Nothobranchius furzeri: one gene and its partners. The protein of the gene in region 7 purifies or fractionates together with the protein of the main gene of each other region. This does not show direct contact. Links are inferred from orthologs where the notes say so. Each region holds a gene or a part of one and is shown on either strand. Other genes may lie near its edges.

The links.
Region 1: the proteins of dnajc7 (region 7) and bag5 purify together in Homo sapiens (affinity purification with mass spectrometry; 4 studies listed by BioGRID and IntAct, with this or other methods). This does not show direct contact. The link is inferred for Nothobranchius furzeri from reciprocal best matches to the Homo sapiens genes DNAJC7 and BAG5.
Region 2: the proteins of dnajc7 (region 7) and pld2 purify together in Homo sapiens (affinity purification with mass spectrometry; 3 studies listed by BioGRID and IntAct, counting the BioPlex papers as one, with this or other methods). This does not show direct contact. The link is inferred for Nothobranchius furzeri from reciprocal best matches to the Homo sapiens genes DNAJC7 and PLD2.
Region 3: the proteins of dnajc7 (region 7) and stub1 purify together in Homo sapiens (affinity purification with mass spectrometry; 3 studies listed by BioGRID and IntAct, with this or other methods). This does not show direct contact. The link is inferred for Nothobranchius furzeri from reciprocal best matches to the Homo sapiens genes DNAJC7 and STUB1.
Region 4: the proteins of dnajc7 (region 7) and ift122 purify together in Homo sapiens (co-immunoprecipitation; 3 studies listed by BioGRID and IntAct, counting the BioPlex papers as one, with this or other methods). This does not show direct contact. The link is inferred for Nothobranchius furzeri from reciprocal best matches to the Homo sapiens genes DNAJC7 and IFT122.
Region 5: the proteins of dnajc7 (region 7) and mlf2 purify together in Homo sapiens (affinity purification with mass spectrometry; 3 studies listed by BioGRID and IntAct, with this or other methods). This does not show direct contact. The link is inferred for Nothobranchius furzeri from reciprocal best matches to the Homo sapiens genes DNAJC7 and MLF2.
Region 6: the proteins of dnajc7 (region 7) and vps13c purify together in Homo sapiens (co-immunoprecipitation; 4 studies listed by BioGRID and IntAct, counting the BioPlex papers as one, with this or other methods). This does not show direct contact. The link is inferred for Nothobranchius furzeri from reciprocal best matches to the Homo sapiens genes DNAJC7 and VPS13C.

What each region holds. Positions count from the first base shown.
Region 1 is NC_091758.1:10,654,799-10,658,889, reverse strand, and holds the start of bag5 (BAG family molecular chaperone regulator 5), read right to left. Parts: upstream 2,801-4,091; 5' UTR 2,767-2,800; intron 2,569-2,766; 5' UTR 2,479-2,568; coding exon 2,426-2,478; intron 360-2,425; exon of another isoform or gene 224-359; intron 1-223. Other genes in the region: coa8 (cytochrome c oxidase assembly factor 8), read left to right, coding at 2,801-2,998, 3,458-3,521, 3,644-3,734, 3,952-4,072. UniProt on the Homo sapiens protein: Co-chaperone for HSP/HSP70 proteins. It functions as a nucleotide-exchange factor promoting the release of ADP from HSP70, thereby activating HSP70-mediated protein refolding.
Region 2 is NC_091750.1:48,064,658-48,068,157, reverse strand, and holds part of pld2 (phospholipase D2), read left to right. Parts: intron 1-2,931; exon of another isoform or gene 2,932-2,952; 5' UTR 2,953-2,959; coding exon 2,960-3,092; intron 3,093-3,171; coding exon 3,172-3,299; intron 3,300-3,500.
Region 3 is NC_091756.1:32,255,875-32,259,506, forward strand, and holds the end of stub1 (E3 ubiquitin-protein ligase CHIP), read right to left. Parts: intron 3,121-3,632; coding exon 3,004-3,120; intron 1,078-3,003; coding exon 952-1,077; 3' UTR 501-951; downstream 1-500. UniProt on the Homo sapiens protein: E3 ubiquitin-protein ligase which targets misfolded chaperone substrates towards proteasomal degradation.
Region 4 is NC_091755.1:54,395,013-54,398,512, reverse strand, and holds part of ift122 (intraflagellar transport protein 122 homolog), read right to left. Parts: coding exon 3,456-3,500; intron 3,349-3,455; coding exon 3,282-3,348; intron 3,214-3,281; coding exon 3,067-3,213; intron 2,174-3,066; coding exon 2,098-2,173; intron 1-2,097. UniProt on the Homo sapiens protein: As a component of the IFT complex A (IFT-A), a complex required for retrograde ciliary transport and entry into cilia of G protein-coupled receptors (GPCRs), it is required in ciliogenesis and ciliary protein trafficking.
Region 5 is NC_091745.1:74,062,665-74,065,475, reverse strand, and holds part of mlf2 (myeloid leukemia factor 2), read right to left. Parts: coding exon 2,793-2,811; intron 2,702-2,792; coding exon 2,666-2,701; intron 2,453-2,665; coding exon 2,399-2,452; intron 2,304-2,398; coding exon 2,175-2,303; intron 1,068-2,174; coding exon 908-1,067; intron 784-907; coding exon 578-783; 3' UTR 574-577; intron 353-573; exon of another isoform or gene 281-352; intron 1-280.
Region 6 is NC_091749.1:66,486,813-66,490,312, reverse strand, and holds part of vps13c (intermembrane lipid transfer protein VPS13C), read right to left. Parts: intron 3,470-3,500; coding exon 3,322-3,469; intron 3,069-3,321; coding exon 2,930-3,068; intron 2,854-2,929; coding exon 2,744-2,853; intron 2,676-2,743; coding exon 2,509-2,675; intron 2,079-2,508; coding exon 1,819-2,078; intron 1,716-1,818; coding exon 1,489-1,715; intron 1,416-1,488; coding exon 1,323-1,415; intron 1,244-1,322; coding exon 1,013-1,243; intron 932-1,012; coding exon 800-931; intron 583-799; coding exon 493-582; intron 390-492; coding exon 234-389; intron 1-233. UniProt on the Homo sapiens protein: Mediates the transfer of lipids between membranes at organelle contact sites. Necessary for proper mitochondrial function and maintenance of mitochondrial transmembrane potential.
Region 7 is NC_091745.1:16,068,566-16,072,687, forward strand, and holds the start of dnajc7 (dnaJ homolog subfamily C member 7), read right to left. Parts: upstream 2,801-4,122; 5' UTR 2,739-2,800; coding exon 2,662-2,738; intron 98-2,661; coding exon 9-97; intron 1-8. Other genes in the region: nkiras2 (NF-kappa-B inhibitor-interacting Ras-like protein 2), read left to right, coding at 3,880-3,973. UniProt on the Homo sapiens protein: Acts as a co-chaperone regulating the molecular chaperones HSP70 and HSP90 in folding of steroid receptors, such as the glucocorticoid receptor and the progesterone receptor.

The DNA of each region.
Region 1 (4,091 bases), on a different chromosome or scaffold from region 7:
AATTAAGGAGAAACTACTGAAAAGGATTTTCCATTTTCAACCAGCTTGGCAAGAAAAACTATCTCTGCCTCTGAAAAGCATGAAACAGTTGAATGCCTTGGGTAAGGTATGAAAACCTTCGATATTTCACAAAAACCAAAGTGTGGGCAGAAAAAGGAGAGAATAACCTTAACTCTAACCCATGACCACAACCCTATAGGAAGCTTTTGCAACATCCTCTAACCTTTGTGGACTGCAGAGGCAGATCTCATCCAAGTAGGAGGTCTGGGAGGTGATTCTGACTTCCTGCAAAGAAACTTAAGCAGAAACTCTCCAAAAACTCAATGGATGCAAGAATCGTAATGCAACTATCAAACGAGAGGCCCTGTGTTAAAATGTAACCACACCTATTAGGATGGTTTTAACTGAAATAGCTTTTGATCTCAGTGAATATGGCCCCGATCCGACAATCAGCCATCTTTAGTTCCAGGGATTGTAATTCTGAATCATTAGATTTGACTGACGGGCTCTGACGCTCATGGTACCTGTCAGTCAAATCTAATGATTCAGAATTTCGATTAGGGATGTAAGAAAATATCGATATGGCAATATATCGTGGTATTTTTTCCTGCAATGGTTGTATCGATATTCAAAAGCCGTGTATCTAAATTTTGAGAGAATTTATTTACATGCAAACATTTGTCAAAAAATTTGCATATTGTGATAAAGTTCATTATTGTCAGTAATGTACTGATAAACATTAGACTTTCATATATATTAGATTCATTACACACAACTGAAGTAGTTCAAGCCTTTTATTGTCTATAATATTGATGATCTTGGCATACAGCTCATGAAAACCCAAAATTCCTATCTCAAAAAATTAGCATATCATGAAAAGGTTCTCTAAACGAGCTATTAACCTAATCATCTGAATCAACTAATTAACTCTAAACACCTGCAAAAGATTCCTGAGGCTTTTAAAAACTCCCAGCCTGCTTCATTACTCAAAACCACAATCATGGGTAAGACTGCCGACCTGACTCCTGTCCAGAAGGCCATCATTGACACCCTCAAGCAAGAGGGTATGACACAGAAAGAAATTTCAGAACGAAGAGGCTGTTCCCAGAGTACTGTATCAAGGCACCTCAGTGGGAAGTCTGTGGGAAGGAAAAAGTGTGACAGAAAACGCTGCACAACGAGAAGAGGTGACCGGACCCTGAGGATGATTGTGGAGAAGGACCGATTCCAGACCTTGGGGGACCTGCGGAAGCAGTGGACTGAGTCTGGAGTAGAAACGTCCGTAGCCACCGTGTACAGGCGTGTGCAGGAAATGGGCTACAGGTGCCGCATTCCCCAGGTCAAGCCACTTCTGAACCAGAAACAGCGGCAGAAGCGCCTGACCTGGGCTACAGAGAAGCAGCACTGGACTGTTGCTCAGTGGTCCAAAGTACTTTTGTCGAATGAAAGCAAATTTTGCGTGTCATTCAGAACTCAAGGTGCCAGAGTCTGGAGGAAAACTGGGCAGAGGGAAATGCCAAAATGTCTGAAGTCCAGTGTCAAGTACCCACAGTCAGTGATGGTCTGGGGTGCCATGTCAGCTGCTGGTGTTGGTCCACTGTGTTTTATCAAGGGCAGGGTCAATGCAAATAGCTATCAGGAGATTTTGGAGCACTTCATGCTTCCATCTGCTGAAAAGCTTTATGGAGATGAAGATTTCATTTTTCAGCACGACCTGGCACCTGCTCACAGTGCCAAAACCACTGGTAAATGGTTTACTGACCATGGTGTTACTGTGCTCAATTGGCCTGCCAACTCTCCTGACCTGAACCCCGTAGAGAACCTGTGGGATATTGTGAAGAGAAAGTTGAGAGACGCAAGACCCAACACTCTGGATGAGCTTAAGACCGCTATCGAAGCATCTTGGGCCTCCATAACACCTCAGCAGTGCCACAGGCTGATTGCCTCCATGCCACGCCGCATTGGGATTCCCGACCAAGTATTAAGTGCATAACTGAACATAATTATTTCAAGGTTGACTTTTTTGTATTAAAAACACTTTTCTTTTATTGGTCGGATGAAATATGCAAATTTTTTGAGATATGAATTTTGGGTTTTCATGAGCTGTACGCCAAAATCATCAATATTAGAAACAATAAAAGGCTTGAACTACTTCCGTTGTGTGTGATGAATCTAAAATATATGGAAGTCTAATGTTTATCAGTACATTACTGACAATAATGAACTTCATCACAATATGCTAATTTTTTGAGAACGACCTGTATGCTAACATCAGTACATTCAGTACCATACCCAGATGCACATTTCTGTTTTTGTGTCCTTTTTACTATTCTATTTTTTCCTAAGTAATGTCCCAGAGCATCATAGTATTCACAGTATTTAAAATGTCTAGAATATTTCTGACAATTATCTGTTTTTTCCGTACCGTTGCGTTGGTCTCTGGGTCTGGGATCGTGTTTTTCTCCTTGCTGCTTTCATCGTGATGCCTGTTTGGTTCTGATAAGCTCGCTGTCGTGTGGCGTTGACTCAGTTCAGCTCTGTGACGTTCATCTGTGGACAGGACCAGCTCTTCAACAGTTAAAGCACAGATAAATGTGTTTAAGCCTTTACTTGTCTCAGGATTAGTAGACAGTTTCCACACCACCCTACTTTTTCATGGTAGGAGACAGAAACAGACACCCTAAATAGCCTCCTAGTGGCTAGCTGCAGCAGCTTGGCTGGAACACGTCTAATTACCGTGTTGGTCCCAGACTGACATTAATTTACCTTCACAGTTTTGTATTTTGTTTTTGAAATGCAGCGGTCCACCTTCAGGCCCAAGCCCAGCTCCACACATGACTGGATCGGTCCACCGAACCCTCTGTCCAATCTGCGTCCCATCGTGTACCACATCCCCGAGAAGGAATCCGATCTGGAGAAGCGGCTGAGGATGCTGAGGCAGGAGACGGAAGACTGGAACCATGAGTTTTGGACCAAGCAGAACATCAGCTTTAGCAAGGTTAAAATGCTGCTTACAATTCTTTGTTGTCACCAGCAGGTGGCAGCAAAGCTCAATGGAGAAAATCCTTTGGAAAGTTTTCTTTGGAGTGAAATGAGTCGATGGTATCAGGTATGGTACAGTGTCCTTAGGAGGCTACGGTCACCTGCCGTACGAGGTCACGTGTTCATATTAGGGAAGTGTAACATGACTTGTGCTTCCAGCTTGCAGGATTTTTACAGGTGCTTGAAATTATAGCAGACGTCGAACAGTCTTATTTCCTTGATGAGACAAAGAACTGTTTTGAGCATGTATGTAAATCAAATCTGGCTGCACAATCCTAAATCTAAGCCCGAACGTGCTTGAATTTGATTAGGCAAAGATGTAATATCAGTGCGACCGCGTTATAAACTTGCCTTTGGATTCATTTGAATAGACAGACTTTTCCAAAAACACAACTGATTGATATAGTCTCTGCAGGAAAAAGAAGCTTTCATCATTTCGCATCTGAAGGCCAAAGGTTTGACTCTGCGTGACGAAGACGGTGAGGCTTCTCATACATATGTTCTGGTGTTTTTTACACAACAACGAAATGAAACTGAAAATGGAGTCAGGACTGTGAAAATGCTGAATGAAATCCACTTTGTGTCGGTTTGCTCCGCTCAGGAAGACGGCGGTCCCTGAACAGCGAAGAGATGGCTCTGTTTTACAAAAGCTTTTTGGACCAAAACAAGCTCCGACATGCAAATTATAACAGGTGAGTTGTTTTTGCGTCGGGTGTCGTTCCCCCCCCCCCCCACGCACACCTCTGTGGAGCTTTTCTCATAACGAGCTGCTGCGTGAGCCGGACACTTTGGACGTTTATTGTCAGTGTTGTTTGTGTTCAGGCTTTATTAGTTAAAGCCCAGGAAAAACCTCCACAGCATCATCAAGCTTCATCGTATTTATTATTTGCTGTCTCCTCCCCAATCCAGGGAGTGGTACCGACGTAACTTCAGCATCACGGTGCTCATGGCCCGAGTCGCTGTCACCAGCATGTGGAGGACTTTTACCGAGAGGCACCACAGGAAGAACAAAAGCTCTCCGAACACCTGACCGCATCATCCTGTTCAGT
Region 2 (3,500 bases), on a different chromosome or scaffold from region 7:
ATGGTTAACATCTGCTGCATGCTGGGCTCGAGTTTAGTTATTGCCACTTCAACCTTTGTTTGCCAACCTTTGTTTGCCATTCCTGAGGGGGTGACGGGTCCATACTGGCCAGATTGTTCTGTAAAGGGTTTTCTGGAGACCCTGAATTCAGCCACACACAGGAGTTAAATATATAAAAAGATACTTTATTAAAGGAGTAAGGGTTTGGGCATGAGCTGGGTCTCTGCAGCTAAGTACTGTTGAAGGGGTCAGTGTAGAGGGAAAATGTGGCAGAGGCAGAGACAAGGGAAAACGTTGGTTTGGACTGGAGAGTTCCCAGGATGTTCCTTAGACAGAAAACTCCCCCTCCCCTTCTGTCTGTGAATATGTCTCCTCTTCTGTGACACAGACAAATGTTATTGTCCATAAATACTCAGTCCATAGGCAGGGTTCGGAAACAGGCAAAGGTCATCAACAGAGAGGCAGAAGCAGGCATACTTAACAGGAGGAGCAGACTAGGATCAGAAGCCGTGGTTCAAAACAGGGTCGGAGTCCAGAGGTCAGAAAAGCAGACAAATCCTTTAAGGGCTAGGCAGAGACAATCCAGGAACGTGAACGTGGTACAGGGCTTGGTAGGTCAGAACGATGAATTGCTGGAATCCTGAGACAAAAGGCTACAGACAATCTGGCAGAGAGGCAGAGATCACTGAGGGTTTAAATAGAGGAAAGAACAGGTGTGCTCCATGAAGTAATCAGGCAGAACTCAGGTGAACTAAATGATGCTGATTAGTGCAGGAACGGCAACCAACATGACGGGCAGAATATCAGGAACGTGAATCATTACAGTTTTACTTAATTATTAATATTGTGGCCACGTAAACAAACACTAGCATCAATAGCTATTCTTCCAAGAGCAACCAGTATACGTCATCGCCCCAGAGTGCATTGTGTGCGGAAAACATGGCATCCTACGAATGTCCAAAAATGTACTAAATATTATAGATTTCTAAATAAACAGCAATATTTTGTGTGTTTCTAACAACATAGTTTGGTACAACAGAAAACTTCTGGCTTATTAGGGCATACACATCCTCATAGTCGGAATTCCTTTTAAGGCTTAATTTGTTTACACTGAAAAAAAAATCCTCTGTTCAAGTCCCTTATTTGTAACGTGCAGTTTCTACATAATTGGATTGAGTTTATAAGATGAACTTCATAAAAATGATAACTTAAAAACATACACTGTAATTTTTTACTTGGATCCTTTGTGTTGCACTAACTTAAAAAAATCTAGTTCAGATACATTTGGCACAAAAATCTCTGAAACGATTGCAACATAGGAGGACAGAAGATGTGCATGTGCTGAAGGTATGTAAATAAATGTCATCGATAACATGAACACAAGTTATTTTCTATAAAAAATATAGACACAGTAATTTTCCTTAGTGTGAAAAATTATCCTCATTTAACAAAAAAATATTTCACCAGCTGCTTTGGGGAAGAAATACTCTTTATTTTTGTTGCATAATTTTTAATGTTTGCCAAGTAACACAAATAAACTGATAGTGGAGGTGTAGATTTCTGTTCTGATGGACTGAACTGTGTTGTTATAAATGAAGAGTACAAAAGGTGAAGGGTGATGATGTCAGCAATGAGACGAGCACAGGTCATGTATGAGTGTAAATACGGTACCTGTTGGTGTTGAATTGTTGCTTGCAGCTCTAGCATTTCTTGTTCTAAGTTTTTCTTAGTTTATTTAGAGGTTATATATCTTTTATAACCACCGATCTTGTCCTAAAACATAGTTTAACAAATAAATTCAACACCAATCTTTTGTATTCAGTGTCTGATCTGAACTGCTGAACTTGCCGTGTTCCGGTATTCGTAGCTCGTACTCAGTAGCTCGTAAAACATTGACCTGAGGCGGAAATTTAGCAACGCTTCTGGGACGCGTCCAGTACCCCATCGCCCATCGCCCCAAGGAACTAAACCCATTGACTGTAACGGCAGCTATTAGTTGCATATTACCCTTCACAGGCGTTACGTGACTCTCATACATCCAGTGGAAAGCCAGGGTCAATTTGGAAAACTCCCAGAGGAAAAGTCATTTAGACATTAAAAAAAGAGCTCTAGTATCAGATGGTTGCAGGTGCAAAGGTTGGTTTCAACCATTATATATATTTATATATATATATATATATACAGCTCCAGAGCACTAGCTGCAGTACCACCAGACAGAGGAACAGATTCTTCCAGATCTGATGAAGCATTATAGCTCTGTTGCTTCATGCACATCAGACTTACACACACCTGTTTTACTTGCACAAGCCTTTGGAGAGTGTTTGCACAATTGCTACCTTGTGCACAATACTAGTCTAGTTTATTCTAGTTGGTTTACTGTTTGGTTTAGTTGTTACTAATGTAGTTTCCTGTCATTAACCCCCACTACCTTTACGGAATTTCAAACCATGTACCATTGAAATTTGTTCTTAGATAAGGAATAGCAGTTAGTTACTGCAGATAAGATAAATATCTACTCCACAGAAACCCACTTCAAAAGTCTGATCTATTGCTGTAATTTGTTTAAAGGAATCCATCTGGAATTTGTTGTCATCGTAGACTAAAGATAGCCCTTCCTTGACCGCTGCGTTGCTCCTCATATTACAACTGTGTATTTTAGGTGTGTGTGTGTGTGTGTGTGTGTGTGTGTGTGTGTGTGTGTGTGTGTGTGTGTGTGTGTGTGTTTTGGATCTTCTGGCTGTAGCCGAGGGCCTGGATGTCTCGTCTTCCTTAGATTTAGTTAGCAGCTGAGCTAGTGTCCAGGTGATGGGGTTGATGAGTTTTATGTATTCATATAAGCATTTCATATCTCACTGGTCTTATTTTAGTTATATTTTTGTTTTTTTTAGTCATATTTCAGTCTCTGGTGAGCTTTTATTTGTCACATTTAAGGTGATCTGGTCCCTCTAACAGCAGTGCAATGGCCTGTCCAGAGGATGTGGTTGAGCATTTGGTCGTGAGCTCAGCTGCACAGAACCTCGACCGAAGGCGCTTCTCACGAGACCTCCACAATCTGAGTCCAGATGAGTTAGACGGCCTCATATCAGCTGGTGGTGAGGCAACACGCATTTAAATTAGGCTTAGTGGTTCATTGAGAAATTTAGTCAACATTTTCCTTAAACTGTGTTGCAGAGGGTCGTTCGTTCCTCATGGTTCATTACCTCCCTGAAATTAGAGATGAAGGTGTACCTTACCTGATGCCGGGTGTTCCTATTACATGCAGAGTGGACAACACAGAGAAGTACACCACCAGCTCCAAGGTACAGCTGCTTTTGAATGTAAATAAAGTGTTTTTGTGGAGTTGTTATTTTTAAGTGTATCACAAGTAGTACCAGCATTATCACATGAAAAAAGTGTGTGAAAATGCTGTTTTTTGCTGTTTATCATATGAACCCACTTAGGACTAAATCCAACCATGGACGTAGTTTTTTTTTGGGGGGAGGGGGGGGGGGCACATGTCC
Region 3 (3,632 bases), on a different chromosome or scaffold from region 7:
AACCATTTGTCAACGCGGGTTTTAGCAACAGCTGAACATTCTGAACTCATATCCAGCAATGTGGGAACGTTGTTTATATATATATGCAGCCATTTATTTTCTGTTTCCAGTTCAAGGCGTTTCAGAAAAACATGGCAAATCGCTGAGGACTGACTCTAAAACTAAAAAAAATACAGAACTCATTCATTCGACTTATTGGAATTGTCTGTTTGAAGGTGTGATTGATATGCAAAGGAGAGGAAAACCTTTTTATTCTACTCAAATCCTTAAAGTGACAAAGACGGTTGGGTCTGAGCGCCACCAGCATCTCGATGCATCAAGTAAAACTAAAAACGTCTATTGGCATTTCTGACCACTTCAACAAATATACTAGAATAGATGGGCAGATGCTCTTTTTCTTATGAAATATGACAAAAATACTGGATTAGATATCAAATAAAATGTCTGTCAGCAAAATTTGTTGGTTTATTTTATATTTAAGTATATATGTGTGTATTTAGAGACCTACTGTAGGTATATGTGAAACACTAGAGTGTGATGCTAATGTTTCCCAGTAACTGTGGCACTCAGAGATAAAGCAGGCAGAGTGCGGCAGAGACCTGAGTACAAGCCCCATTATGAAGACAGGAGGAGTCAGGCTGGACGACTTAAAAAAATTAAATTAAATTTAAAAAAAAAACACGATAGAGAAGCTGAACGAGAGAAAGAGTGATCAGGTCTTAAAGGGAGCAACAGGCCATGAACACCAAGCCTCCGAGAGCTGCAACAAAAGGTTTTACAGCCAAGAACAAAACCGTTGGGAGGATGCAAACTGGGATGCTTTATACTCCCCGTTTGGTAGTTTCCTGTGTGGCTTGAGTAAAGTTCATATCCAGGCAAAGGGTGATCTGTTCTCTATATTCTTATCCAGGTCTGGTGTTGGCTCCTGGAAGAGAAAAGGAGCGAGCCTCCTCAGTAGTCCTCCACCCAGCCGTTCTCCTGGATAAAGGCATCAATCACTTCCTTCATGGCCAGGTTGGGGATCAGCTGATCCTGGGTCAGGGGACTTCGGGTGACTGGGTCAAAGTGACCAACTCGCTGCAAAAATGCAAACAAGAAGGATTTAATGTATTTGTGCACAACTACATTATTGATGCTTTAGAGAAAGTAACTGAACAGCTTTTCTTCTAACTGTGCCAATAACCAACACTTGTAATACCGTTAACCCACGTAAACCAATGATAACTACAGGGAGCCTAAGCCACGCTCATCTACTGGGTCCACTACTGTCAAAAGCATGATGAGCCAATAAAAGCTGTTTTCTGATCCCGTTTAATATGTGCTATGGCTTTAACAAATGCTGTCTGTGAATTTTAAAGACACATTCTGATGGCAAGAAAGTGCTTATTTTTAAAAAATGGCTAAAGTTATTTTAGATTTTGTGCGAAAAAATGTATAAGACTACAAATGTTTGTCTCACAAAATTGATGTCGTCAAACCAGACATGATGAAGAAAACGACTGAGTTTAGCGAGCTTTGGATCTTTCTTCCAGGACAAAAAAAAGCATTAAACGTGTAGAAAAGCACCATAAATCTGGCCATGTGGTAAGTAGCCGCTACGCTGGGGGAGAGGAGATACTGTGGTGATGTCGTATATGCGACGTCTGATTTGTGGCCACTTTAATTATCAATTTTTACAAGGTAATAAATCTCAAAATACGTGACAGACATAATCTAAACTCGTTACTATTTAGAATTTAAGCTAAAGTACAACATATGTGAGACTCGGGGTTAAAGGCAAAGTAGATTAGAAAATAGCTTTTGCAGCGCCGTTGACGGGGAGGAGACATATGGGCCATTCCCATCTGTACCCGGTCGGCACGGGCCGGGTAGCCCCAGTCGGCCCCAGCCTGGCCCGGTTGATTCCACACATCCTTGTCTTAAGCCCATGTGGGCTGATTCTACCCACCAATCAGAGGCTTGCTCTAATGGAAGGTGTGAATGGGCTGATTCTACCCACCAATCAGAGGCTTGCTCTAATGGAAGGTGTGAATGGGCTGATTCTACCCACCAATCAGAGGCTTGCTCTAATGGAAGGTGTGAATTTGCTGTCAGCAGTGGGTGTGTTGGCCCTGGTCGGCCTGAAGCAGACCTCCTCGGGAAGAGGGCCGAGAATGAGCCTTGGTTGGCCCGGGAAAATTCCAGGCCACCCAGATATGTAAACAACCTACGCTACCCGGCCCGGGCCGACCCGGTACAGGTGGGAATGGGGCTATAGGCTCCCTGTTACAACCAGTACTGATTTGTAGAGATGCAAGAAAATTTCTATACACTGAAATATTGCTGATATTTAAAAGAAGGTGTATCAAATTTTTATAGAGCATTTTAACATAATCTTCCACTGTGCTTCCCTTTGTGTGGTGCAATTCTACCTCCAACTGCTAGGTGGCAGCAGATTTTACCGCCTTCAGTCTGACTTCACGAGATCTCGTGATAACACTGGAAGCCTCTGGTCTTCAGGCTGTTTTGTATCATAACATATCATATGGTCGCTGCTGTACTGTGATACATAACCCACCGCTACTGATCTGATCATGTCTAGACTTGTGGACAGAAGCCTGTCCTACCACAGGATCAGCACTTCACGTCGCGGTGGCGGCCCAGTGTGACCCTGGCTTTAGCGGCTTGAGGAAGAAAACTTCAGATGCTGTTGGAAATTACAATTAACCTGTCACCTGAGTCTGTCACCATGGTGACCAATGCTGTAAACCTGCTCGCAGTTCAGTCCACACATTTTAACAAGCTGTTCTATTCATTCATTCATTCATTATTTATTTAAAGGAGGACAATGCATACTTATGAACAGTAAATATGCCAGATTTTAAGACTAATTTCCACTTGCAGTCCTCTGGCAGGTTGATGTTGCTAAAACAAATAAAACAGTCAACAACATACACATAGATAAAAAAAAAAACAATCAAATAAAACAAGTCACCAACTACCAGCAGACCTGAAACTGTTTACCTGTAGATGCTCTTCTATGTCCTTGCGGTCATAAGTGATCCCGCTGGGTGTGATGCAGGGCTCCCTCATCAACTCAAAACTGATTTTCCCACAAAGATAATCTGGAATCTCTCGCTTCTGGAATCAGGAAAAGAGGAAACTCTAAACAATCAGGGTTTCTATACAATTAGATGATTTATTCTGGTCTAACAGGGTCCAGGTCATCAACAAGCTGCTGCTTAGCAACCACACTGATGTCACTTCCTCCTAAAAAGCCTCAACGATCATCCTAATACGATATTAAGCAAACACATAACAGATTGATACATCTTATTCTAATTTCAAGGCCAGTTCCATCCTCCCTTATACGACTACAACCTCAATATAAACAACCAGCTCTGGCAAGAAACTTGGCAAACAGCAAGTAACAGTCGTCATAGAAACAGCTTGCGCTAAAATTAAAACAACCATCTTATTTCATGCGATCTCATCTGTCAGTGAAGTTACTGAGGTTGTATAAAAATAAAATAACCGCAAAAGATAGACTTAAATAAAACAGATCTCAAGTCAGATCTGAAGAATCAAGTATATTTGCTGCTCTTATGCCAACTACAAAAATGGGGGAGGGGGGGGGGGGAGACACACACTGT
Region 4 (3,500 bases), on a different chromosome or scaffold from region 7:
AGAGAGAACAAAGAGAGAACGTTAAAACCGGAATAAAACAAGCATTTTATATATATATATATATATTAATGGCCCAGGGGCCTGAGCCAACCCTTCCCACTGCCTGGGCCACACACTTCAAAGCACATTCAGCCATCTCTTTGAGTCTGATGAAAAGAAAGACAGAAAAGAAAGGGGTTCTCTCGTTTTAAAAGCCTCTATTGTATTAGAGTTCAAAGTCCATTTGCGCAACATCAGGTCACCCGGTCCTGTCCATCTGTTTTTCCTCACTGTGCACAAAAAAGCCTCCTTGACAAATCTCCAGCTATTTCTCTGTCATCGTGAACAATCCCTGGTGTTGTAATCAAAACACGACGGCCGTTTAAAATGAGAAATGAGCAGATGAGAACACACACAAGCATAATTCATTCAAACAGAGACATAAACAGTGAATATTTTTCTACAATGACAGTATTGTCTAAAGAGAATAGAAGAAAGAGCTGTCGTTAACCCTTTCAGGTCCTGGTCAACCATTTAGTGGAGCAAATTTAGTCTTCAAGGCTTACTGAAGCATGTTTAAGTGACGGTGCACACCCAGTATGATTAAATATGGCAATGTTTGACTAAAAATGTAATTATTGTTACTGTATATTGTTATTAAAATGACTTCATTAACGCCTTACATCACATTATGTCTCTTATTGTCCTAGTTGAAGAAAAGAATTCCCTAAAAATGTGTATTGCTTTTTTCTTGGTGTGCATCACATGATTACTTATAATAACCTGTTATGATTTAAATGCATCCAACAGGAAACAGATCCATAGCTCAGTTAATGTGTTACATTAGTGTATTTAACACAATATTACTTTTAGTAATATAATGCAAGTTATTGCACAATGAGTGTTAAAATCTAAGTTTTTCCATAATGACAGTCTGCCTTTAATCTGTTAAATGTTATGTGTTCTTATGGAAATATGGTGATGTGAAACCATGTTTGCTCCGAGAGCAGCAAATACATTTTAACATCAGACAAAATGTAGTTTTCACATCATTATTTCACCTTAAAGACCTTTCTTTAGATTTTGTTTGGGGTTCTTTACTTTATGAATTTCTTCAAAGCAAGACAGAATCTCTTTTGTACGTTCTTGCTGTGTTTGTCTTCAAATTCCATTTTTGGTTCTTTTTTAAACACAGATGAGGTTTTTCTTTACCTTGCTGACGTTTCGTTTGCGGCTGCAAACATCCTCAGAGCTGACGCTGATGGTGGCGTCACTTCCGCAAACGAAACGTCAGCAAGATAAAGAAAAACCTCATCTGTGTTTAAAAAAGAACCAAAAAGGGAATTTGAAGACAGAATGTGTTGCTTTTTAAGGTCTTTTAGCATATTTCATGATGTCAGACAAGTTCTATTGAAGTGATTTCTTGATTCTACTGTGTGGGCTAATATTTATAATAGTGATGCACCGATATGAAATTCTTGGACCGATACCGATATTAAGATCACTGTTATGGCGATATTATCGATATTTGCCAATAAACTGACATTAATGCTTCTAAAATCAGCAGATCTTGTATTGAATGAAAATTACTGATGCTGAATTTGCATTATTTTGTACACACAACACACACATTTACGGTTCTGAGAATATTTCATTCACTGTTCACATGAATAAAAAAATCACACATCACCCCCTCACCCTCTGAAACAGGCAAACAAATGGAGATGAGATGGAAAAAATATCGGTTGTTAATATTGGCCCGGTTTTATTTATCGAACCGATACCAACATGCTAAAAAAATGACTACCATCTGCCGATACCGATATTGATGCCGATATATTGTCCAGCCCTAATTTATAAGGTTAATCACAATTAATCCATGACTTGACAAGAGCCTGGTTGGTTTGGTTAGCTGTTGTTGTTCTCAATAGGTGAAATCGTTATGTGAAAAATTTATTTTGTACCTGATAATTTTATCTAGGTCTGATATTGAAATTTGTTAGTTGATCTGAAACATTAAGCATGACCAAAAACAACACAGTGCAGTTGTTGTGATATCTGAAATAAGAGTAATATGCTAGTTTTGAGACTCTCCACATGGATTTCTGATTTATTCACCTGCTTTCCACTGAGCTGGTAGAAAGAGAGCTTTTGACCCCAGTCTGCCACCGCCAGAATGTCACTGTGTTCATCCCTGCGAAATGAAAAGACCACAGACTTAAGTGCTCAAGACAACCGTCTGTGCTGATGGGGTCTTTGGCTGTTTAAGTGAAAATGCCAGAGGAAACCAGAGTGGCCAACCCTCTTTACGACTGAGACGTTTTCCGCTGGAAGTGACAGAGCTTTATGTTTTCTTTCTGATAGGTTTTAATTGTATGTCAACTCAAGACAGAGTATTGAATGACAGGATAAGCCCGCATACCCATTCACCCTGTCAAAAATGTCACAACACACCTTAATTCATTCACAGGAAACCCAATCCCAAGCAGCTCAGACAGCCCTTTCCCCAGCCCGACACTACGCTCTCTCGACTGATAATAACTGATGAAGCATCTTCTTGATAACTTGCTGCCAATTTTAAGTTACTTATCCTCCTTTTTAGATTTTCTTAATTCTTTCTTATTCTTTAAACAACATTTTAGATGGGCCACTATAACAGCTACAGCAGTGCTCCTGACTTTGCCTTAGAGCAGGCGTGGGGAACCCAGGTCCTCGAGGGCCAGTTCCTGTATGTCTTTGCTCCAACACTTCTGGTTCAGTGGTTGATTCACCTGTTCAGCAGCTCATCAAGCTCTGCAGAAACCTGTTAATCACCTGCTGTTGAAATCAGGTGTGTTGAAGCAGGGTTGAAACTAAAATATGCTAGATAGCGACCCTTGATGGGCCAGAGTTCCCCACCCCTGCCTTAGAGGGTAGCATCCTCTCCCATGTCAACTACTGCCACCTGCTGGCTGCATGAAAACATGACCTAAGATCACATAGATATGGGCAGTAGTACAACATATAACATCTTCATGAAAAAAAGCATTTGTATTTGGCTTCAGTAACATGATTTTATAATAATATTAATATTAATGACCAACATACTTGGAGGGATTCCACGCTATGGACCATATAGGAGAGGAGGAGCCTCCAGGACGTTCTATTTTGACCTTCTCCTCTCCATTCTTGTTACGTATGCTCACCACCCCATTCATCATGCCAAGTGCAAGGTACTGCCCATCGTTTGTCCACCTGCAGCCACAACAGACATGGATGCACTGCAGAAAAACTCGCTAGAGCAGAATATTACAGTAACTTACCCACAACATGTTACTTTGCTGCTGACTTTATGTTTATTAACAGATTTTTGCTCAGGAGACCACAGGCCTAAAAGGCAATGCAACAGCATTCAGTTCACCAGGTTGCATTTAAAGTGCATTATGCAGAATATTTAAGAGTCTGGTGCAGATTTAAAAAAAAAGGTGTACGCTCACCAAAGTCACCAGATGAACAGGAGGCAAGTTGGTGAGTGATCGGGT
Region 5 (2,811 bases), about 58 Mb from region 7:
GTAAACCGTTCCGCGTCGCTGATGCCTCCAGTTTGAAGTCGGGGTCAACAACATGAAGCAACGATGATCGAGCTGCTCCCGTTGAGCCAGCAGCTGTCTGAGCAGAGCCACATTCTCACTTCACACAAGCAGAAAGTCACAATTTCTAACCAAAGCTTCCCTGTTTTTGTTAAAAAATGTTCTCCACCAATCAGCTGTTTGGTAAATGAGATGACTGCAGCAAACTAACAGCAAAATGACGCATTTTGATTAAACTTTTCCCTTTGATTTTATGGTCTAGATCTCAAAACTGCAAACCAATATTTTACAGGACTGGGGATTCCAACTGCAGCTGGAGGAATCTTCTTCAAAGGTATGAAAACAACAGATATCTGGATTCTTATCTTTATCTTATAAAGCCAAAGCTGAATAAATAAGCCATGTAACCAGATTAACAGATTCAACCATTACAGCACATAACCATGGTCTGTTTTAAAGGGAATGAAAGCATCTGCTGCTGTGGTTTCTGAGAATTTGGATTAATGTTTAACTCAAACTTTAGGTGCATCCATATGAAGTCCACGTCCACCTTACCTTCTCACCAGTCGTAACGTGGGCGGGTTTGGGGCTGACGGTGTCTGGGAGACTCATGTCGATGAGGGGGCGTTGAGTTGGAAGGGGCCGGGAGGGCCAGCTGCTGTCCTCCCCCACGCGGATCCTGACCGTACTCCAGCCCACGAGCATTTGGGGAAGTGTATCTTCCTGCCCCCCTCCTCCACTCCTCATCAAACGCTTCAGCATCAGCTAACAAGAACACAAGCCAGGATATTTAAACTAAAACCCAGCCTGCCTTCAATATTAGCTCTCCATCCATCTTCCTGAAGATCCACAGATAAACCGATGTTAGAAGAACATCAGCACTACTCACTCTCATCGAGGTTAATGAAGTCTTGCCGTTCCTCGCGATCACCAGTGCGGCGATTTCGTGAACGCTCCATTATGTGTGCACGATCCCCAATATGATGGCCGATGGCGAGCCGCTCAAAGCCGCTCTCGCTGTCCCTCATGGACTGCCGTGTTTCACGGATCTGAGAGGAAAGATGACAGTTAACTAAACTAAAATGGCTCTTCTGCACTCAGACCCAACCCAGCCAGCAGTGTTTGTTTGACACAAAGTGACATTTATACCGAGAGTGAAAGTCATTACAGTTTATGGTAATTTAATGTGCTGATGAAGCTAAAAGACCGCAGTAATGCTGAAATAAACTAGGTGCAGAGCACTTGTTTAATCAATACATTTGCAGAGATCTCTAGTAGGAATGGACGCTTTTGGGCCATTCCCATCTGTACCGGGTCGGCCCGGGCCGGGTAGCGTAGGTTGTTTACATATCTGGGTGGCCTGGTATTTTTCCGAGCCAACCAAGGCTCATTCTCAGCCCTCTTCTCGAGGGGGTCTGCTTCAGGCCGACCAGGGCCAACACACCCACTGCTGACAGCAAATTCACACCTTCCATTAGAGAAAGCCTCTGATTGGTGGGTAGAATCAGCCCACATGGGCTTAAGACAAGGATGTGTGGAATCAACCGAGCCAGGCTGGGGCCGACTGGGGCTACCCGGCCCGGGCCGACCCGGTACAGATGGGAATGGCCCATTTGTAAGCTGGACTTGGAAAGTAGCTCCTCCTCCAGCCAAGTATCTTACTTCCTGATTATTTTGACATCTTGCCTCTGATTGGATAACAGCAATGCGATTCCTCCACTGCTTGTTTTGCAACGTTGATGTTTTATCTCCACAAATAGCACACATCTGGAGGAGTTGTGCTGTGTGGTGGAGTTGCTAATGCTAACAGTTATCTCCTACTAGCTGAGACGTTCTCTGGTGTTTTCTAAACGCTAAGCCAACAACAGCCTTCCACGTTGTGAGTCAGGACGGGTGAGTCCATAAATGTTAAGTGACAGTGTGACGTAGAACTGTTTCTGTCTATTTTCTATCAGCAGCTTGTGTAGGAGACCATTGTCATGTTCAGCTTGCATCAAATTGGCTGATTATAATCAGAAATAACCAGTAAAATGGTTTTTCCGTGTTCCAAACCTTTAAACTCGTGTACCATGTTAGCAATGAAAGGAGCCTTCTCAGATGACACAATCTCCAGGTTATTAATGCACAACATTTTAAAAGCTTGAGGTTATCCGTACCCCTCCTGGGCCTGTTCTTGTTGCACTTGTCTGCTGATAAACCTTAGGAGCCCCCACGTCTGAAGATGAATAGGAGATCACTGTCGAGGAGGAAAATGTTTGGCAGTTTGGTGTTCCGGTCATCCTTTCCTAAAAGAGAAGGGGGAAAAAAGCACTATGTGTTAGGAAGCAATACTCGTGCACTAGTATTTTGTTAGTAGAAACAGGTTTTCAAAGCTGCTCACCACGTTTCCCATCATTTCTTCCATCATGCCAAACATATCCATGAAGCCTCCACCCTGCAAATATACGGGTAGAAAATGCATCATTGATCATTTAGTAGCCTCACACAACACACAGAGTAATCAAATCAGATTACGAGGAACCTAAAGATTCCCACCCCAACAGGACACCGTTCAAGCCTTTTCTATAACAGAATTTACCACATAAAGCTCTGTAAACTGTTGGGAGTCACATGATACACAAATGCTATTAAAGAATCAGTTACTCACCATTCCCATCATGCCAAATGGAGCAAGTGGGCCAGCCTAGAAAAAGAAAAATAACTCGATAAGTAAAAAATGTAGGTAACATAAAAATTCAGACACCAAATGGACTGTTCTCACAGCAATCAGTTACCGGTCTGCGTGCTGCACGA
Region 6 (3,500 bases), on a different chromosome or scaffold from region 7:
CTCCTCTCTGGACCATCATGCATCATGTCTACACACAGAGATGACGGGAGGAGTTACTGAAGTGGAGCTGGAGACACTTCTAGAAGAGGGAGAGGACATTAAACATTATGTCGGACATGCTGTCCTCTGGGTCAGGACAAAGAGCTAAAGGACAGAGACAGTGAAACATCTGGAGTTTTGGTGAAAAGAGTAAGGGAAGACTTAGGGGTCCATTTGGTCCTGATGTGAGGTACCTTAGCCAGGTTTTCGAAGACGCCGAGGCTGCACTTAGAGATGGTGATGTTCATGGTGTCTTTAGAGCAGATGTTGATGACGGTGCGAGCTTCAGGAAGCATTGCGAAGTCGTCTCCGTGCATGGGGCTCTTGTCCATGATTGGGTTGTTCTTAACCTGCAGGAGGAGAAGGGGTGGAGCCTAGAGCCAGCTGTTTCATGACTACCAGACAAAAACCCAAGTGCTTGTGGGTAAAACTCCTGATCTCAACCTGCTTTACCTCAAGTTCCAGGTTCCACCTGCGTCGGCCGCCCTCCAACCGCTCTATCAGAGGTTCCCACACAGCATGGGTCTCGTTAAAATAGTTCACCTGAGGATGCAGCACAGCATCATTACAGGTGATCAAACTATTCATCAGCTCCGATTTGAACAAAAACACAAGATTCAGGTGGTTCGTCTCACAATTTCACGAATTAGTCTGAAGATTTTCAAAACAAAAGCTCACAAACATCTAACCCAGAAAATAACTTCAGATGTGAACTCAGGTGGGTCACATCATTGGGACCTGGACCTGGATCAGGTTTTACCTCCAGCGTCATGTCAGCCTTCAGCTGCAGCAGAGACGACCAGTTTCTGGCCACGCCGTTGACGGAAGACTCAGCGAGCAGCAGGGGGACGGTCCGATGACCCAAACCAGACTCCAGAGTCACTTGGATCACCTGTGGGATCACCACACCTCATTAACAGGAGGGAACCCCGAACAGGTAAGTGTGAGGTTCTTCACCTGAACTCTTCTTTACCTTGATCTGAGCCGTGAAGGTTTCTCCCTGGTTTCGTCCGTCGGGTTCTCTGAAGCTCTCGGTCATCTCCACAGCCTGGTCCACCCCCAGAAACCAGAAGTTACAGTTGTAGATGTTCATGGTGGACCACAGGTCTCCAATGTCAGGCTTCGTCTCCTGGTTCTGCTCCACGCTGGGCTTCGTCATTCCAGCTGCTATCGTCATCACCGTGTTGAGGATGACCGGAGAGATCTGCAGACAGCGATGAGTTCAGGTACAGTTGCTCTCACTTTTACCCATGTCTGAGCTTTAGACGGGTAAGTGAACGCACCTTAACGATGACTTCCTCCACTGTCACAGAGCCGCTCAGCGGTTGGTTGGGATGCATCTTTGTTTCCAAGGAGACTGAGCAGGGCTTCAGCACCTGTTGGACAGAATCTGGATCATCTGTTTTTCCACAAAACTGTTTTGTTGAAAAGGTTCCGATCCAAACCTACGGTGGTGAAAGCTTTGTCCTCCTTGTCTCTGATGAAGCGGCAGGCCAAGACCTTCAGGCCCCTCAGGTTGGCCCTCATGCTCTGGGACCCGTCCTCCTCAGCCTGCAGAGTGAAGTCACACTGGAACGAGGCCACCAGAGCCGGTGCGTCGGCCTTCATCAGGCTGGCTACGAACACCACCTCCGGGTCCACGATCACTGCCTGCAGGCGGGTCCGCACCACTGAAGCTGCAGAGGCAGAATGTCTAATGGGTTCCTGGTTCTGCAGCATGACAATTAAATATGTCCTTATTTATTTAAGGACCACAGCTGGACTGGTTCCTGGACTCACCGGTCTTGGCATCAGCTCGCGGTCCTGCCGTTTGCTTCAGAGGTAGCCTCTCGGTCGGTGCTGCAGAGGTGGACGAGGACAAGGACGAAGTCTGTGGATGAGCCTGCAGGAAGAAATCTGCGACGGCTGTCAGAAACTCCATGCTGGCACACAGATAAAGTTTCTGCAGAACCGCCACCACGTCCCGCTCCGAGGCGTTCTGCCTGAAGGTCACATCGATCATGGCCTGGGAGCTGCTCTCCTCCTTCTGCCCAACCATCCTGCAGGAGGTCGACACAAAAACAACTTCTCTGTTCTCTGAGGGTTAAGTGTCACATTTAGTTTGATAGAGGCAACAAATTGTTCTGAGGCCTAATCCAGGATTTTACTGCAGCGGGGCAGCTTCCTGTCTGTGCAGACTGACATAAACATCATCTCAAGAGTTGATACGAAAACGTTTCTTATAAAATTCCAAATGTAAACTATCAAATTTTATATAATTTATACAAGTTCTGACTCCTAAAGTGAAATTGGCAGAATGCTGCCTCTTTGGCTCCTTCATGGACCAAAAATAAAACCAGATTTTTGAGTTTCAGACTGGCCCGTCAGCGGTTCCACCCATCACACTGACGGTTTGGTTTCCTTTTAAAATCCGTGACAGGTTTTCCTTTGATGGAAGACATGCTGTGATCAGAACCGTGTGACTGTTACCGAGACGTGGCCCGGTCCATCCCCGTCCTCAGGTCATCCAGCGTGCAGGCAGTCAGAACCGTGCTCACTTCCATGCTGCCGTCATTCAGGATCTTTCCTGACGTTTTCAGCAGCTGGAGGGCAAATTCTCCAAGTCTGAGGTTCTGCTGGTGTTGGAGGCCTGTGGGCTGCCGAGAACAGAGAACAGTAAGACCAGAACCACAAGAACCTCACATTTAACCCGGTTCTGACTAACCTGCTTGGGGTCGTTGTGGTACAGAACCAGACCAAGAGACTCAATGTTGAAGTTAAACCGGACAGTCTCCACGGGTTTGCCACTGCTCTCCGGTGGCTTCTCAGACTCACCTGAACAGGTAGAAGACCGGTGACGTTAAATAAGACAACCTGACTAATGGGACTCAAGGTTCGGGTTGAGTCGGACCTGTGGGGGGGTTCCTGAAAGCTGGGACCTGCTGACTAGCCTCTTGTCTGGGAGCACTGGGACTCGGACCAGAAGCCTCTCCCAGGTTCTCCGTCAGGATCCAGAGCATGACTCTCAGGTCGTCCTGACTCAGCTCCAGCTGTACAAACGGAACAGGATCAGAACAGAACCAAGCTCTGCTCCAACAGGTCCACTAGGACACAAACATGTTAACCTAGCTTAGCATAGGGCCTCTAGAGTCTGACGTGGGTCTAGGGAAGACCCCGTCAAAACTCAAGAGGAGAGAAAACAGCACCTTGGTGGTTTACCGGGACAGAACTGGACCAGCACATTTCACACATGAACAATAATTTCACTGTGACCTCGTTGTGATGTGTTCCGTTTCTTCCTACCTTCATGGGCTTGAGGTCTCCATCCACCTCCACAGCGGCCATCTCCTGGTACCAGCCAACTGACAGGTTCCTCCTCACACCCAGCTGCAGGTTGAGCGGCTCCAGCAGCTCGATGTTGGGTCGGCATGAGTCTGGGTCCAAACAGGTTCTGATGCACAAGAACCTCACATTTATATCAG
Region 7 (4,122 bases):
ATGTTTACCGATAGCCTTGGAGTAATAACTGAATGCCTCTGTGTAATCCTTCTGGATATAAAAGACATTGCCTTGCTCTTTAAAGCCCTCCGCTTCCCTGTGGAGAGAAGGCAGAGAAACAGAAAAATCAGAGCAAAATGAGATCAGGTCAGTAATGATTTTTTGCCAAGAATTAGGTCAACGAGTAGTCATCTCAAAGCACATGCCATGTATTTCCATTGGGGTTAAAGGCTGTAAAGCCATCCATTCAGCTCCCTAAACCACTTGTTCACAGTGAGGCTGATAGTTCCTGATTTTATTCCGAAACTTGAAATTTTCTTGAAGCATTTGTGCCATTTAGTTTGGAGAAGGGCTGGGTGACATGGCCTAAATGTATTGAGCAGTTTGCCTTGATGACCATAACTGGATGATAACTGCCAGTACAGCAACAGTTGACTGTTCCCTTTAACAACATTTTGGATTTGCTCGCTGTCACCAGCTTCTGCTGTCCACTACCTGCTGCCCTTGCCCACAGCTCCAACATTTGAGTCATCTGTGTCCTCACCATCTCCCTTCAGGTTACAGACCAAATGTTGTGGGGTCACGTGACTTTGTGTAGGTTGTTGCCAACCTACACACATCTTTTCATTGTTTATTATCAAATTTATTGACATGGGAATAATTCTCGATAAGAGTGAGACATTTCGATAACGATACATTTTCGATTTATTGCCCAGCTCTACATATTACCACCCAATAACCTGAGAAAGAGAATTGGAAGAAACCCTGAAATGAAATATAAAATGACTGGTACTATGAGCAACTTGCTTTTAATGGATTCATCTATAGCAGAGGAACTTATTTAGCTAATTTGCAACAAATATGATAAATAAACTGAAAGAGTTCCATAGTTTTTGAAATTTTTTTGTATGGAACAACACAATATATTGTTTTTGCAAAACACTTAATAAGTAGCATGACTTCTAAGTTTAAGAGTCAAGCCAATTTTACAGCCAACAATTTACCCATAACGTTTGCAGATCTCTACAGAAAATGTTTAACTGATCTAAAACCACAAACAAGAGTTGTTTAAAACTCCATTTTTACACTCTTAAGCAAGAGTGTTGATTAGTTCCTAACCACACCTCTACTGCAGTTTGTGAATGGCGTAATGTTGTCCTTGTAGACCAGGTTGTTGATGAAGACACACTTTGTGTTAATCTCGATGCTTTTACTAATGTGAGACCTAGCAAGAACACGGATGAATTAAATCATTATAAAATGGAATAGGTTAAGAATAGTTCAAAACATTTGTCTTTAACCACATTGTTTGGCTTTTATACTGATCTAATGGTAACTAGAACCAAACCCTCACTGACCAACTAAATGGCAGACTTGTCAGCATCTTTTAGAAAACTTGATCAAATTCAGCAGCGGGTCTCAATCCTGGTCCTGGAGGAGCTTTAGGTTTAACCCTCTTTAAACACACCTCATTTCAAACAGCAGGTAATTAAAAGGCTTCTGCAGAGCTTGATGACCTGCTACACAGGTGATTTGACCACTGAATCAAGTGTGTTGGAGCAAAGAAACAACAAAAACATGCTGGATACCGGCCGCCCAGGACCAGGATTGAGAACCACTGAAATACAGTGAACACTACTAAAGCAGAGGCAATCTAGATTCTGCTAAAGCAATCAACTTATCAGATTCAGGGAGTTTGACTCCATGTTATACGAGATGTTTTAGATGGCTCAAAAATACACAAATTTTCTGATCTTCACTACACTAAAATTAACAAAAATGTTAATTCCTCTTTGATAAAACATTGTGTTTTATGATTTGTTGAGGGGATGCAAATAAAGACATAACAGAACATTTTTTACATTAAAAAAATAAATAAACTCCTCCCAGTACTTCTAACTTGTTTATTTTTGCCCATTTCTCAAAGTTTGGACGCCACTGATTTGACTGTCCTGAAATACTAAACTAAATATTTTTCAACAACCACTAGACTTTAAACTTTAGATTAGCTCCTATACAATACACCAGTTATGCTTTAATGACTCACCCTCTGAAACCTAAAATTGACTAGAATATCTTCTTTGCAATAAACTTGCTTTGATACATCTGGATGGTAACTAGAGGCTTGCTGAAATACTCCTAACCAATGCAGAACATCTGTGATTATAAGGGACAGTGCCTATGATGCATTCCAGAATTTTCCGGTCTGCGTTAGCTAAACATAGAAAGAGTCTAAACAGCAGCCAACCCGTAGCTATTTTGTGAAGCAGGCAAGGCGAGCAGAGCCAGGAACATATGACACCATGCTCCGTGCAACTGCCATGACTTTATTTGGATGGCTTAAAGCTTAACATCACGACCACACAGTCAGAGAACAGTGTCATTCTACAAAATCAGAAAATACGGCAGTGGTGCAAAGGCCCAAACAACGCTAATGCTATGAAACTAAAAACAAATTCAGATCCTCGTTTAAATCCGGCAGAGAAGTTAGAGAAGGGGAACAAGGCTATCGAACGTTAGCTTACAGTTAGCAATAGCGCTAGTTAGCATTTAAGTGCGACAAGAAAACTCCGATGACAAGGCAGTTAAAACACACGTTGGACTAACAAGTTATTTGTGTATCCGATAACCATTGACAACAAGGCATTGCCATTTTCAAACCTTTCTATATCCTCGTCAGTGATGAGCAGCTCCATGTCAGGCTCCGCGTTCGAAGAATCACAGCTGTCTGTCGCCATTTTACCGTCAATGAGAATGGGCGGGGTTTCATACTGCGGTGTTACGTACGCTGTAAACAGGAAGTCACAGTTTTGCAAGAAAACGTCATTACGTACACTGTAAACAGGAACTAGCCCGCTAGGTAAGAAAGCAGTCTGTCAGTAATGTTAAATAATACTACAAACCATTAACTTTTGCCAAGAACGAAGCTAGTCAGTGTATGTTTGACGACATGTACTAAGTGTTGTCAGGTTTGGCTTACGTCCATTGCGTACACGGTGACATTGTAGTTGCGTATCTTATGAAAGCTAATGCTAGGCTAAAAGCCCACAAAGAAAAGCAACTATGTTCATTCTAAAATTATTTACTCAATTTTGACATTAATAGTTAATAAAAACAAAAGAGTTTTATTTAGCCAACGCAATGGAAAGGCTAGGAGATGGAAAGGCAGAGAGCTAGCAGGATGTTTTTCTCATTTTGTGACTCAGCTGTGTCTGGTTTTGTTCGTTACACCTTGGAAGCATTTTATGTTTGATTTGGGTCGACTATGTTGCATTTGGGGAATGCTGGATCCTGTCAGTCTGCTGTTCATTTTCACTTGCTTTTTTATTTTTATTTAATTTTTATGTATTTTTACACTCATTAAAAGACTTGCTGTTGAAATAAAAGAAAACAAACAGGAACACCTCTATGGCTAATATATCAGCACTTCTGCAGAAACGTCGTTTGGAGCCTCCAATAAGGAGGAGGTCAAAATTATTCAGGAAGTGTCCCAATTGAAAACAATATCTGACCTCTTTGCTTTATTCATGTTATGAAACAATTATCATTGAGCAAAGGTATTGAAAATAAACACTAATTGTTCTTTAATCAACATTCTGACAAAACCGCCTTAGTGTTTACGGTCTTCAGACATGGGAAAGAGTTTTTACAACTCCGTTGTTCACAGATGCCAGATCACTGCATGACACTGATGCTGTTAATACTTATAATGTTTATAAAATAAATTAAAATCACACTGCGACTGATAATAAATTTATTCATGTCATTTATGACATTTACTCTTTTCTCTACAGTTTTAATGTTAACTGGCTCAGCAGGGTTTAATCTGTTTGTTTTATTCCTTCAACAGATTTTCCTACTAGGGACTAGGACGTCATCATGGGAAAAAGCTGTAAAGTAGTTGTGTGTGGTCAGGCTGGAGTTGGTAAAACAGCTGTACTGGAACAGCTGCTCTATGCCAATCATGTTGCAGGTATGTCACCAGGCTTCTGTAAAAACTGAACAAAGATGATCAAAATTGTCTGAGAAAAAGCTGTTTCTGCGTCATTTCATACAATAATATGCTTCTGCAACAGACTACAGCTCAGAAAATAGCACTCATTGATACAGACTGGTTGAAAA